Astyanax mexicanus: one gene and its partner. The protein of the gene in region 1 purifies or fractionates together with the protein of each later gene. This does not show direct contact. Links are inferred from orthologs where the notes say so. Each region holds a gene or a part of one and is shown in the gene's direction. Other genes may lie near its edges.

Region 1 (7,414 bases):
GAATTGTGTTACTGGTCCTTTCCTTCCCTCTGTGCTCAGAGTTCACTATTATTGGGTTTTTCCTGGATTCTTAACCGTTTACTCTGTGAGAATTACATTAACGGTTTTATTGGGAAAATGTATCTAATGAATTCATAATCTGTAGCAGGACCCATGTTGCAAACTTGTATTGTAGTTGCATGGGATTCTTCTTTTTTCACATTTTTTAGTGTACAGAACCAATAAAGTTACTTTTACTAATGAAGAAATTTCTGTTTTTTTTATTTTTGTTTGCACCACTGTGGGGTCTCCTTATTAATACAATCACATGGCCAAGATGAACACAGATCTGATGGGAGATAATGCTGCCTTTATATATAATCCAGTTAAAAGGTCCAACTTCCCAGGTGCAAAGTCAGAATTATGAGCTTTACACATTTAAAATGGCAGGCCAAATGTCAGCTAGTGTAATGTTAATAACTTTCACCATGCTAGAAAAATTAATTTGTTCTGGATTGAAGAATAATATAAAGTTTAATGCACATTTATTACAGTTCAAATAATATGCACAAACAACCAGTGACTGCACTAATTTGTACCAACCTGATAGCAAATGAAGACAGAATAATGCTCTGTTCCATGTACACTATTTCAGATTTTGGTGATTTATATTGTATCAAACTAAAACCCTTCCTTTTTTGTAGTACACAGTCAGTAGTGCATTTTTATTTTTTGATTTTGTAATTCTTTTTTTTTTTCTTTTTTTTTCAATGTACTTTGTTTCAGTTTTAGTTCATTGATTTTGTCAGTTTACTTCTAACTTTTGTATTATTTACATTGTGGTCTCAAGTGGAATGAATACCCCAACAATTTAATGATTTTATGTTGTGTTTAAATATAGCTTTATTGCAATTGAAATATACTTAAGTTGCCGTAATTTGTTCTAAAATAGTACATTTTATATTTATTTAAGTACATATTTTAATAAAAAAAATATGTACTTTTTCATGTTAAGTACACTTTAAAAAAAATACTTAAATACACTTTTCTTTTACAGGGGTTGTTTTAAAAGGCCTGACTGTTACTACTGTACTTAGACAGGTGTTAGACAGGCCAGGAATCTAAATTAGCACCTTAACTCATCCCCAACTCTCCAACTCAACCCAAACGTACTGAATCGTACTATCATGTACTTAATTGTGTTTTTTTAGAATAATGATCTTAACTGATTGTCCTATTTTTAAGCACATATTCAATTGAAAATATATATTTTTTAAATTTGATGATAAATAAAAATTGTGTTGATTTATTGCACAGGATGTATACATTTACCACCATTTTAGATATCATAGTTCCACTGCTACACAGCTCAATGCTGTGGGGTATTATAAAAGGTATTATACAACTCTAGCCCATGCCTGGCATTAGGCATGGTGCTGATTAGTTCATGTTTATCTGCTTAAGAAGTTTCTATTTAATTGGTAATAAATATGTACATTAATTATACCAGTTCTTTTTATCGTTGTTGTCCAATATAAAACAAGTATCTCCATTTTTGTTGATTTTTAGCTTACTAAATTATTTCAACTACCCACATTTCCCTTATACTTTGTCAGGATGTCTTGATTTATGGGCCAATAGAAATCCTCCCAAATTATTTGAACATTGACATCCATTGAAAGTTAAAAAAGGTTTTATATCTCTCCTGTAAAGTTGCTGTTTTGGAGATACTTGTTTTTCATTGGACAGCGACGATATGCATTTACAGTCATCATTCAGTGTCAGAAATGGATGCAAAATAAAGGAGCTAAATGATGCATTCATTACCAGGGTTGTCCACAGACATTACACAGAGTTTATGAACACATCAGAACTGCAGCATTAGTGAGGAGTGTGTCTTCACACTTTCCCACATTATTCATGCTTCACAGCATGGATTGAGTGTATGCAGACAGAATGATCTGTAGTGACAGTTTAGTTCTGCTTATGTAGGCATGTTTCTCCCTGCAGTGATTCCTTTAAACCAGCTCAAACTCGTCTGTTTAAGATAAGTTCCAGCAAAGGGAGTTGCCTCAAAGCAGGATGATTTTATAACTTTATGGCATCTGGGACCAGATGAGCAGGTGAGAGAGTAGTATACACACATTTGCCTAAAGTAAGAAATGAGACTTGGTTTACAGTAGTTCGGAATTAGAATAATATAATATAATATGTTGAAATATGTATTTTTCTGTTGAATCTTTTCTTAGGAATTCTTATTCTCAGCAGTTTTTCGTAAGCACTTGAATGAGAGATTGGCTGTGGTCCCTGTTCTTCTCTTCCTGAAGGGCATGAATTCTAAAAAAAGAAAAAAAAAGCAGATGGTGCGCATATTTGATATTCTGTTGACAAGACTGCCTCTGAAAGCTGCAGGGCTGTTTTTCCACCCAAAAAGACTGTTAGATCATTTTGCTGGATTATTATCAGAGTGTTATTCAGTTTTTAGAGCTGCAAGGTTCCTGAATACAACACATGTAACAACATAGATGATGGGCCAATTAATTATCAGCACAAGAAAAAAAAAGGAAAGAAAACATTTATAGTATGTAATCTCTTACTGTCAGCATTTCATTGCAGATTATTTGTCATTTCTGTAAACTACCTCACCTTTGACTGTCAACTATACCAACTCTGTAGCAGCAGTAGCATTAACTTTAATTTAATACTGTATAAATACAGCCATATTTCATTTTTAACATCGTAGGAACATCGATAGTTTGTATAAAGATACATGCACACATACTTACAATGTACAGTACCAGTCAAAAGTTATGACGCAGCTTCTCAGTCAGTGTAATGTTTATCAGTTCAGTTTAGGCTAATTTCGAAAATAGAAAATTGGTGGTTAAACACCTTTATTATGTAACTCTTACAATTTGGTGCAGTATAGAAGAAATAGTTTTTTTTTTAATCTAATTTTCCAATTTTCTATTTTCTTTATTTCTGCACCTCACAATTTTAGGACAAATAAAAAAAATCTTCTGTCAATTTTTTAGATTTTTCTTGTAACAATAGTAAGTTTATTATTAAGTTCTACATCTAAAAAAAAGAGTTGAAAGGAGAGTAAATTTTTCAGTTCTGTTAGTGAAAGTCAGAAATAGAACACTAAAGATTGCAAAAGCAGATCAATTTCTTCTTTACTGAAGTAAATGAAAAAAAACATTTTTGTAACAAGTTTTATAAACAATTTTCTATGTTTAAATTTATCCTGAAACATAAAATTAAACTGATAAATGTTATGATGCAACGTTTTTCTTTATTTAATGTATTTTCTACATTGTAAATTACTATTAAAGACATGAAAGCAAGTTTATTTATATAGCACTTTTCATACACAATGGTCATTTAAAGTGATTTATAAATTAGAAAATACAAAAAGACTCACATAAACGTGTAAGAGAATAACAATAAAAATGGAAATAATAAAAGAAGAATAAAGCATAAATAAAATGTGATTCAAACAATCAATTAAGGGACACATATGGGATTACGTATTAAACAATAAAAAGTGTTTGTCCACAATCCCCTGATCTAAACCTGATCAACTGTGATGAGTGATTTGAGATGATCTAGAGCTTCACAGTGTTCAGCACCTCCAGGACACTCCACCTTCCAGACACTGAGAAAACTATTCCAGGTATCTCTACTTCATGAAGACACTGAGATTAAAATACCAAGAGTGTGCAGATCTGTCCTCAAAGATAAATGTGCTACTTAGAAGAATCTAAAATATAAAACGTGTTCTGGTTTGTTTAACTTAATAATTCTGCCTGTTCCTGTATAGCGTTAATGTCTTTAATATTAAATGTACAATGTAAAACATCATTAAAAAGAATAAAACACATTGAATGAGAAGAGGTGTGTCCAAACTTTTGACTGGTACTGTATTTTAACATTTTCTTGAATTTTATTTCTGTGTTTATCATGTACTTAATTGTAGTTTTTAGAATAATAATCTTTACTGATAATTTACTGTCTAATTTTAAGCACATATTCAATTGAATATATATATATATATATATATATATATTTTTTTTTTTTTTTATTTGATCATAAATAAAAATGTGTTAATTTATTGCACATGATGTATACATTTAAACAGGAGAAAAAAAACTTAAAATAAACGTTTTATCTATCTGTTGTTTTTTTTCTAGTTTTATTTGGTGTATATCATAAATGTAAGTAAATGCCATGAGTAAATGTATATTATGTCGTTTTTATTTTATTTTTCTTCTTTAAAAAAGCAAGCCTCTGTCGCAGAACTACAACTCCCATAAGCCCCTTGTACCCGGAAGTGCTGGAACACGTGTGTGGGTAGTGGCGTGCTGATGGTGGGGAAGCAGTTAACTCACAGTGGAGCTCAGTTCAGGACTAAAGTGTTAACTCGTCTTATTCAGGCTCTCTACGCTTCTGCGTTTGATCCGGCGCTACAGTGAGCATTGATTACATGATTATTCATTACAGCGTGTGAATTAATTCATTAATATTAATGATTTTAATCAGGTGTGATCAGAGTGTCTGAGTGCGGCGTGGTTTTGCAGCAGTAGCGAATTCATCTCGCTGTTTCAGCAGAAATACTGTCAGAAGTGTGTTTGTTTTCCAGCTAGATCTGATCTTTCCCGATGGGTGTAACGTTTAGCAGTTAATTTCTGACTGTTGTTCAGTCGATATATGCTGCCCATCAATACGTACTTTCTAAAGGCACTACGCATGCGCTGACCTACACTTTTTAAATATTTCTCGTGTTTGTTTATAATAATTCTATTTTTGTGTGCGTTAAACAACATCGAATCACTGTCATTGCACAAAAGTTTAAATGAAAAATAATAATAGTAACTAGAAAAGGCAAAGTTCGTGAACGAACTTTAAGTTGGCTTGTCAAATAGTTACTAAGTTGTGTAGTGTGTGTGTGGTGTGGAGTGTGTGGGGTGTGGAGTGGGTTGTGGAGTGTGTTTGGTGTGGTGTGTTTGGAATGTGGTGTGGAGTGTGGTGTATGTGTGGTGGAGTGTGGGGTGAGTTGTGTGTATCAGGTGTGGAGTGTGTGTGGTGTGGTGTGTAGAGAGTGTGGTGTGGTGTGTGGAGTATGTGTGGTGTGGAGTGTGTGTGGTGTGGTGTATGTGTGGTGGAGTGTGGGGTTTGTGTCAGGTGTGGAGTGTGTGTGGTGTGGGGTGTGTGTGGGGTGGAGTGTGTATGGTGTGGGGTATGTGAGCTGTGGAGTGTGTGTGTGGTATGGAGAGTGTGGGGTATGTGTGGTGTGGGGTGTGAAGTGTGTGTGGTATGTGTGGGGGTGGAGTGTGTATGGTGTGGGGTATGTGAGCTGTGGAGTGTGTGTGTGGTATGGAGAGTGTGGGGTATGTGTGGTGTGGGGTGTGAAGTGTGTGGTATGTTTGGGGTGGAGTGTGCGTGGTGTGAGGTATGTGAGCTGTGGAGTGTGTGTGTGGTATGGAGTGTGTGGGGTGTGGGGTATGTGTGGTGTGAAGTGTGTGTGGTGTGGGGTATATGAGCTATCGAGTGTGTGTGTGGTTTAAAGTGTGTGTGGTGTGGGGTATGTGTGGTGTGGAATGTGTGGTGTTGTGTGAATTGTGTGTGGTATGTGTGGGGTGGAGTGTGTGTGGTGTGGGGTATGTGAGCTGTGGAGTGTGTGTGGTTTAAAGTGTGTGTGGTGTGGGGTTTGTGTGGTGTGGATTGTGTGTGGTGTGGGGTATGTGTGGTTTGAAGTGTGTGTGGTGTGGGGTATGTGTGGTGTGTGGGGTGGAGTGTGTTTGGTGTGGGGTATGTGTGGTGTGGAATGTGTGTAGGGTGTGGTGTGGAGTGTGTGTAGTGTGGGGTGTAGACTGTGTGTGGTGTGGGGTGTGTGTGGTGTGTAGTGTGTGTGGGGTGGAGTGTGTTTGGTGTGGGGTATGTGTGGTGTGGAATGTGTGTAGGGTGTGGTGTGGAGTGTGTGTAGTGTGGGGTGTAGACTGTGTGTGGTGTGGGGTGTGTTTGGTGTGGAGTGTGTTTGGTGTGGGGTATGTGTGGTGTGTAGTGTGTGTGGGGTGGAGTGTGTTTGGTGTGGGGTATGTGTGGTGTGGAATGTGTGTAGGGTGTGGTGTGGAGTGTGTGTAGTGTGGGGTGTAGACTGTGTGTGGTGTGGGGTGTGTTTGGTGTGGAGTGTGTTTGGTGTGGGGTATGTGTGGTGTGGAGTGTGTGGGGTGGAGTGTGTTTGGTGTGTGGTATGTGTGGTGTGGAATGTGTGTAGGGTGTGGTGTGGAGTGTGTGTAGTGTGGGGTGTAGACTGTGTGTGGTGTGGGGTGTGTGTGTGGTGTGGACTGTGGAGTTTGTGTGGTGTGGAGTATGTGTGGTGTGGAGTGAGTGTGGGGAGTGGACTGTGTGTCGTGTGGTGAGTGTGTGGAGTGTGTGTGGTGTGGGGTGTGAAGTGTGTGGTATGTGTGATGTGGAGTGTGTGTGGTGTGGGGTATGTGTGGTTTGAAGTGTGTGTGGTGTGGTGTATGTGTGGTGTGTGTGTGTGTGGTGTGTGTAGTGTGGTATTGGTTCTGGTGTGGGTTGTGTTCAGCAGTCTCTTCTCCATACAGATACAGTACTGAGGAGCAGGGCAGAGAGGGGGGCCGTGCGCAGGATCGGCTGGTGTGTGTGAGATGGCCAACATTCCGCCCATTCATTCCTATGGGGAAAGTTCGTACGATACTTTTACGAAAACCGTAAATCGTATCGGTGAGATCAGCATATCGTCTGAAACGTCTCTGCAAGTTCTGTATGTCTTGTGAATTTCGTGGTTCTAGCTTGAAAATTGTGACTTTTACAGCAGTTTGAAAAAAGTGTGAATGGAAGTCTATGGGGAAAAAAGTGACTTTGACGGAACCGTGCTAGAACCCTGGTTCTCCGATCGCTTAGAAAAGCACAAGCAACTTAAGTGGCTATGGTTTCTACCAACCTGTGAAGTTTGGTGGTTCTAGCTCGAAAACTGTAGGAGGAGTAGCGTTGAGAAATTTTAGCGTAGAAGAATAATAATAATAAGAAGAATAAGAAGAACTATAAGTTGGCTTTGACAAGCCAACTTAATAAATACAATTATTATTTAATACATTTAATACAAAACCAGTTTGTAATGACCTCTCATTGACATAACTTTACCATGATACAGTGATTTATGCTATCCAAATATACTAACGCTACATCTACTGGGACTTCTGCTGGGAACATGCTCTAATATGGTGCTTTTTTCTGTGGTTAAATTATACACTAGGGTATCATGGTTTGACAGATTACCGTATCAAGCTAAATTCGAAAATAAAAAAAAAATGGGTATAAAACTTATTTTTATTTTTTTTTCCATTCAGTATAATAAAGAAGAAATGTGTTTTTATCTAATTTTTTAATGATCTAGTTGTTCGTTTTG
Region 2 (6,386 bases), about 3.8 Mb from region 1:
CTGAAGGCCCATTGTGTTTGTGTGCAGATAATCAGGCTATGGAGGGAGAGAAGTGCAGCTCGCTCACCCCCTCACTACTGCACTCATATGGAGTGACACTGCACACTGAATGGGGTGATAATGACGTCATGGAGCTGATTAACACTATATGCTGGTAAATATATAGTGAATATTATAGCTGTATGATATTATAGTGCAGAATGGGCCTTAGCTACACACACATCCAGCTGCTAACAGGTACCACACACACACACATGCACACACACACAGTACAATACAGGCACAATAAATAAAACATGGAAAAAATACATAAACCACCAACCTGCAGAGTCATTTTCCCAGGCGAGAGAGAGAGAGCTGGAGTATGAGATAGTGAGAGTGTGTGTGTGTGTGTGTGTGAGAGAGAGAGAGAGAGAGAGAGAGAGTGTGTGTGTGTGTGTATTCCTGCTGCGTCTTCTGCACTCAGCGTAGACCTGCTGATGAATTACAGTTTACGGTATCATCGTGCACAGTCGCAGTGTGGCAGCCTGAACGCTGATTGGCTGAGCAGAGAGCCAATCAGAATGAGCCAATCAGCACACAGCATTACTGATGACAGAGGAGCACATGCACACCGAGCCCAGCCACAACATTAAAACCACTGACAAGCGAAGTGTATGCAATTTCTAGCATCAGAGAATTAAACCCAGCCACACCACCCTCCCTTATAAAATAACTACATACAAAATAGGGAAGAGTTCCCAGGAGGCGTGAGTCTCTCATATCAGAAGAAATAATATCATTTAGTTCAAGGATTCATGGAGACTTTATTGTCATTCACATCACATGTGGTACATGAGGTGAACCGAAATTGTACTCTCAGGGTCCAGATACACAGATAAAGAGCGATTGTTAAAATAAAATCAATATAAAGATGAAATAAAATAAGATATAATAAAATAAAATACTAAAATAAAATAAAATAAAATAGATATCAAGATAAATACACAAAATATAAAGGAGAGTAGGAAAGCAGCAGCAACGTGATGTCCAGAGTACATATATATAAACTATATATTTAGTTTTAATTATTTATTTATATTTTTATTTATGCTTTATTATTTTTATTTCCATTTTTATTGTAATTTGTAAAGCACTTTGAATGACCATTGTGTAAGAAAGGTGCAATATAAATAAACTTGCCTTGCCTTTGTAGCATCATAGATAATTATGAATGAAGAGCAGTAACATATTACAAGTTACATAATAGGTGTGTGTGCCAAATCAGATAGGTACACCTGTCCCTCAGGAGATAACACTGTTCAAGACTGTCCTCTCAGCACTGCAAACTAAAAACTCTGAGACACATATTGGGTCTTTCCAATGGACACACCCCCATCTCCACAGAAACACCCTTTAGAGATGCCCTGTTACATTATTTTTTATTGTTCTACCTTATTCTGCACTAATAGTTTATTTATGGTCCACTGTTTACATCTCTACAAATTTGTACAGATAGATTAATATATAACTGTGTATTTGCACATTCTTTTTCTATTTGCAGCGCGTTTTTCTATTTGCAGCGCGTTTTTCTATTTGCTGCGCCTGTGTTGTAATTTTGATGGATGTGTTTTATGCTTTTGCAGGGCTTTTCAATTTGCACTGCGTTGGGCTTTCTCGGCCACCGTAGCACTCTCCATTATGTGCTCTAATTTAAAGTGGGCAATGAAGTCCCCTTACTCTCTAACCTGACCCTGCTCTTTTCTTTGAAAAAACAATTCAATATCTGTGGCTGATACTGAATATCCACACACACACACACACACACACACACACACACACACACAGGACGTATCAGGAGTGGAACATCACCTGTCTCATCACATCTTCTACAATTCTGCACTATTAATTAGCTACTACACATACAGACAGTACTAGTCTAGCACACTGGTTTTAATAAAAACACAAACTGACCAATGAAATGGCAGCCAGCCTCATTCTCCCCAGCAGCACAGAGAGAAAGTGGATTGTACCATTTGTGTGTTGAGGAGAGATTACTTTATTTTTATTCTAGAAATTCTGTTAATGATATACTTTTTTAGTTTGGAAGATTTTTCAGCTTATCTAATTCTGTTTAAATATATATATTTGTTACATTTTAGGAGTGCTTGTTGAATTTAGGGATGCTTGAGCCCCCCTAAAAAGGGGCTAATAATGCCCCAATGGAAATCTCCCAAACCAAAAACCAGCTGGTTGAGCAGCATAGCTCTTGATATTTCTGTTGATCTGCAGGCCAAGCAAAACCATCTGACTAAAACAGAAAGCCAGTATGAGCAAGTTGGCCAGGCTGGTTTGTGTCTAAGCTCAGAGAACACATGGACTGAAGTACAATTTCAGATATGAACATTAAACAATCAATTAATAATCCAAATTAACAAGCTTGTAACACATATTTATTTTATAGTTTTAATCAAATATATATATAAAAAAAACAGGGATTAAACTGCATACTAGTATTCTGAGCCTGGTTTTCCAACAGATTTGTATATGTATATATATATATATATATATATATATATATATATATATATATATATATATATATATATATATATATATATATACATTTAATGATTTAGACTTGGCATCTCCTTCCAACTGCCAAAAGTACCAATTGGTCTTACTCCTATATAATATATACATCTACTGAGATACTGTCTTTTGGCTTTTCATTAGCTGTAACCCATAATCATCAAAAATAAAAAAATAAACACATCAGTTACTGTCTATACTAGTTGTTAATTACTGTATATACAAGTAAATATTATTTCCTGACTTTACTGTTGTTATCTTTGTTGATCAAAGAAGAATAAGGTCCTCTGAGACCTTCTTTCTCTGCAGGTTTATTCTTTCCACTCTGGGGACGCTTTCTCTTCGCCATTATACTGTTGCCAGTGGTTTGCTCATTTGGGGCTTGAACAGAGATCTCTGTAAAAGCTGCTTCATGACAATGTCTTCAGCTTGTAAATAGGGTTGTAAAAGCACATCTATAAACCAAAATCTAATTTTAACTAATTTGACAGTGATATACCAAAAAAAAAAAAACACATCACATGACATATAAACAGCAAATTCTTGTCATTTATGTATTGGTAAAAACGTGTATATACTTTTTTGTACTGTTACTTTATTTTATCCTGTCTAATCACGTGAAATTTAACAACTCATCTTTAATGTGCAACACATAGACAGTAATCATATAAAATTATCATTATCATATAAAACATTTTCAAAAATATACTGCAATGCTTGAAATATGTTTAATTAATTTGTTATGACTAAACATTTCACAGATGTGGGACTAACAAAGGATTATTTTATGTTTATTTGAAAATGCATGATTTTTTTTTCCTTAATATTCTGCAATACAATACTGTAATATTAGAAATACATGTTGGAATAAAAAATGCCTTCTCTTTGTTTTCTCTTTAAAAAAAATGCTTGTGTATATATTCTTCTATTTTCTGTTGGATGTAGTTTATGGATACCGCTATACTGTTTGTATTACATTCCAACAGATACTGTGGGACTAATAAAGGATTATCTTAAGTAGATGAAAATGAACAAACTTGTATATTTCCTAAATACACTGCAATACTGCAATGTTTGAAATACATTTTGTAGTTCATAGGTTTCCATGCATTTTTTTTAAAGAAAGCTTTTCTATTTTTTTAACTGTTTATGGATACTTCTATCTAGTTTCTATAGCTTTGACACTGTGACTTTATTATTCCCACATCTGGGGAATTGTCAGAGGGAAACATGTATTTTTCCTTAACCCCTTTACTGGCCTTTGAATGTATACAGGCTACAAGTGTAGGTGATACAAAATCCTTTTTCTCTGCAGTAAAATAACTTATTTACATTTTAAAGACTATGAGGGCTTTTAGTGTCTACTCCACTAAATAATTCCAGATTAGTAACAGGAATCAACCCAAATTCTGCAGGTTTGAAAGTAAACATAAAATCTAGACAACTGTAACAAAACGAAAGGTTTGGGGGACATGAACTGTTTGATTTGCATTCAGGAAAATAATGATTTTAAAATGATCCAGAAAATCTCGCTATCTTTAAGAGACTCCTGAAAGAGCACTTACTCTCCTAACACCTCTAACACACTAACTACTTCTAACCCCATTTCCTTCTTCCCCTCCTTCACTTCTCTATCCATTTATTTCCCTTCGACCTCCTTTAAGCCCTATCTAAAAATGGGTTATCTAAATTCCTATTACTTTTGTACTTCATTATTGTAAGTCGCTTTGGACAAAAGCGTCTGCCAAATGAAATGTAATGTATTTCTAATACATTTACAATTGGAATTTGTAGAAACGTTTATTATCAAACATGAAATCTTTTTTATGCAATGCTTGAATAGAAATCCTCAAGATTTAGGTATGTAACATTAGGCAGAAAATTTATAAAAATGCTGGCCTGTTACTGAATACTGAAATGCTTAAAATATATTTAAAATACGATTTAAATTGATAAAATACGTTTAAAATATATTTAATATAACATATTAATAAATAATGTGTCCATTATGTGGTAGTGTAGTGTTATATAGACCCTGAACACTAGGGGGCGGTGTGGCTTTTTAACACTCAACGCTCCGAACCAGCATGGCGGCGCCCTGTAGCAGCACACGTGTTCTATAGATAGCTGATGTTATGTTGAGCTCAGTGCACACATGTGAAAGCTTTCTGATCTGATCTGAGGTGGAACATCTCTGAACACCACTGTTCAGAGCACCGAGGCTGTGGAGGACCTTTATAAAGCAGGAGCTGGTTTATATATAAAGTTATTTAGTTTGTTTTAGTATCTGTGGCCACGCTGGAGTTATGAGAGCAGGATGAGCACTCCGGGAAAAGCAGCAAAGAAGGAGAAAAAGAAGCCCATCCCTGTGAAAACCTCTCTAAACAACCCTTACGATCTCAGATGGGCTCCTCTGGAGAAGGGCCAGAAGGCATTTATTCTGAACTGCCTCACAGAGACGATAGAAGCTCTGGGGCTTAAGAAGATCCAGGTACGAGTGAAGGGGCTCCGCAGCAGCAGGAGGAGGAAATCCAAGCAGCGGGACTCGAAGCCCCCCGAAGCCGAAAAAACTGCTCGGCAGCCAGGCTGGAGCGACGAGGCCTCCCGGAGGCAGCTGGCCATCGGCATCAACGAGGTGACCAAAGGCCTGGAGAAGGATGAGCTCAGCCTGGTGCTGGTGTGCAGCTCCATCAGGCCAGCCCACATGATCAGCCACCTCATCCCCCTCAGCAGAACCAGGGCGGTGCCGGCATGCCAGGTGCCCGGCCTCAGTGAGGGTCTGTCTGGGGCTCTGGGTCTCAGCAGCGTGCTGGCACTGGGCTTCAAACGAGGAGACACCGCCTTCTCCAACACAGTAGGGGAGATAGCCTCCAAGGTCCCTCCCCTCTGTGTGCCCTGGGTGCCCACTGAGAAGGAGCCAGCCAGGCTGGAGGACCAGAGCCTGGGAGGAGACCCCCATCCTGGTCCTACTGATACTGGAGATCTTACTGGAGATCCTTCAGATCCAGTTAAGACTGAAACGCAGACTGAGGAGCCCCCCTCAAATCCACCAAGGGGTCAAAAGAGGAAGCTTGACCTTTCACATGAGCCTGGACAAGACCCAACCCCAACACTTCAGCCTCTCAAAGTCAAGAAAACCATCCCAAACCCATCAAAAATCCGGAAACCCAAGAAAAAGAAGGCATCAGCTCAGAAGTGACAGTCTGAAAGAAACAATTGCACAATTGCTTTTTTTTTTATTCATTGGACAAATCATAAATCATTGTAAAGACATTTAGGATGAGTTGATGTGAAAAGGTGAACATGTAAAGATTCCAAGAAATGCAGCCAAGAAGGAGAAAAAGAAGCCCACCTTTGAGAAAACCTCTCTACACAACGGTTACGACTTCAGATGGGCAGATGAAATGGTGAAAATGTAAAGTCTCAGCAAACAAATGTTACATGTAGAATTAGAATTGTACCCATTATTATTTGTATTTGAATTATATTTGCACTGGCATTACAAAAAAGCAAGCATTGTCTAGGACTTAATCTCATCTCCATGCCTGTGCCTTTACAAACATATAATAGTTTTCTTTAGATATTGCTTTGTCTATAAACAATGCTGTATGTCTCTTAAAATGCAATTAGGGCTAAAACCTTGTTATAAAACCGGTTCAGCAATGTTTTGTCACAATTTCCTTTGTAAAAAATATCAAGCTCTTCAGATGTCTTGTGTTCACCACAACACTGTGAACAGTTCTGTCTCAATATTTCACATCAAACATATATTTTAAATAACTATACATACAGCCCTAAAAAAAGTATAAGAATAT

The links.
Region 2: the proteins of pop1 (region 1) and rpp38 purify together in Homo sapiens (affinity purification with mass spectrometry; 3 studies listed by BioGRID and IntAct, with this or other methods). This does not show direct contact. The link is inferred for Astyanax mexicanus from reciprocal best matches to the Homo sapiens genes POP1 and RPP38.

The regions. Positions count from the first base shown.
Region 1 is NC_064408.1:108,227,967-108,235,380, forward strand, and holds the start of pop1 (ribonucleases P/MRP protein subunit POP1), read left to right. Parts: upstream 1-4,313; 5' UTR 4,314-4,450; intron 4,451-7,414. UniProt on the Homo sapiens protein: Component of ribonuclease P, a ribonucleoprotein complex that generates mature tRNA molecules by cleaving their 5'-ends. Also a component of the MRP ribonuclease complex, which cleaves pre-rRNA sequences.
Region 2 is NC_064408.1:111,996,675-112,003,060, reverse strand, and holds rpp38 (ribonuclease P protein subunit p38), read left to right. Parts: upstream 1-4,657; 5' UTR 4,658-4,888; coding exon 4,889-5,770; 3' UTR 5,771-5,812; downstream 5,813-6,386. Other genes in the region: acbd7 (acyl-CoA-binding domain-containing protein 7), read right to left, coding at 323-334. UniProt on the Homo sapiens protein: Component of ribonuclease P, a ribonucleoprotein complex that generates mature tRNA molecules by cleaving their 5'-ends. Also a component of the MRP ribonuclease complex, which cleaves pre-rRNA sequences.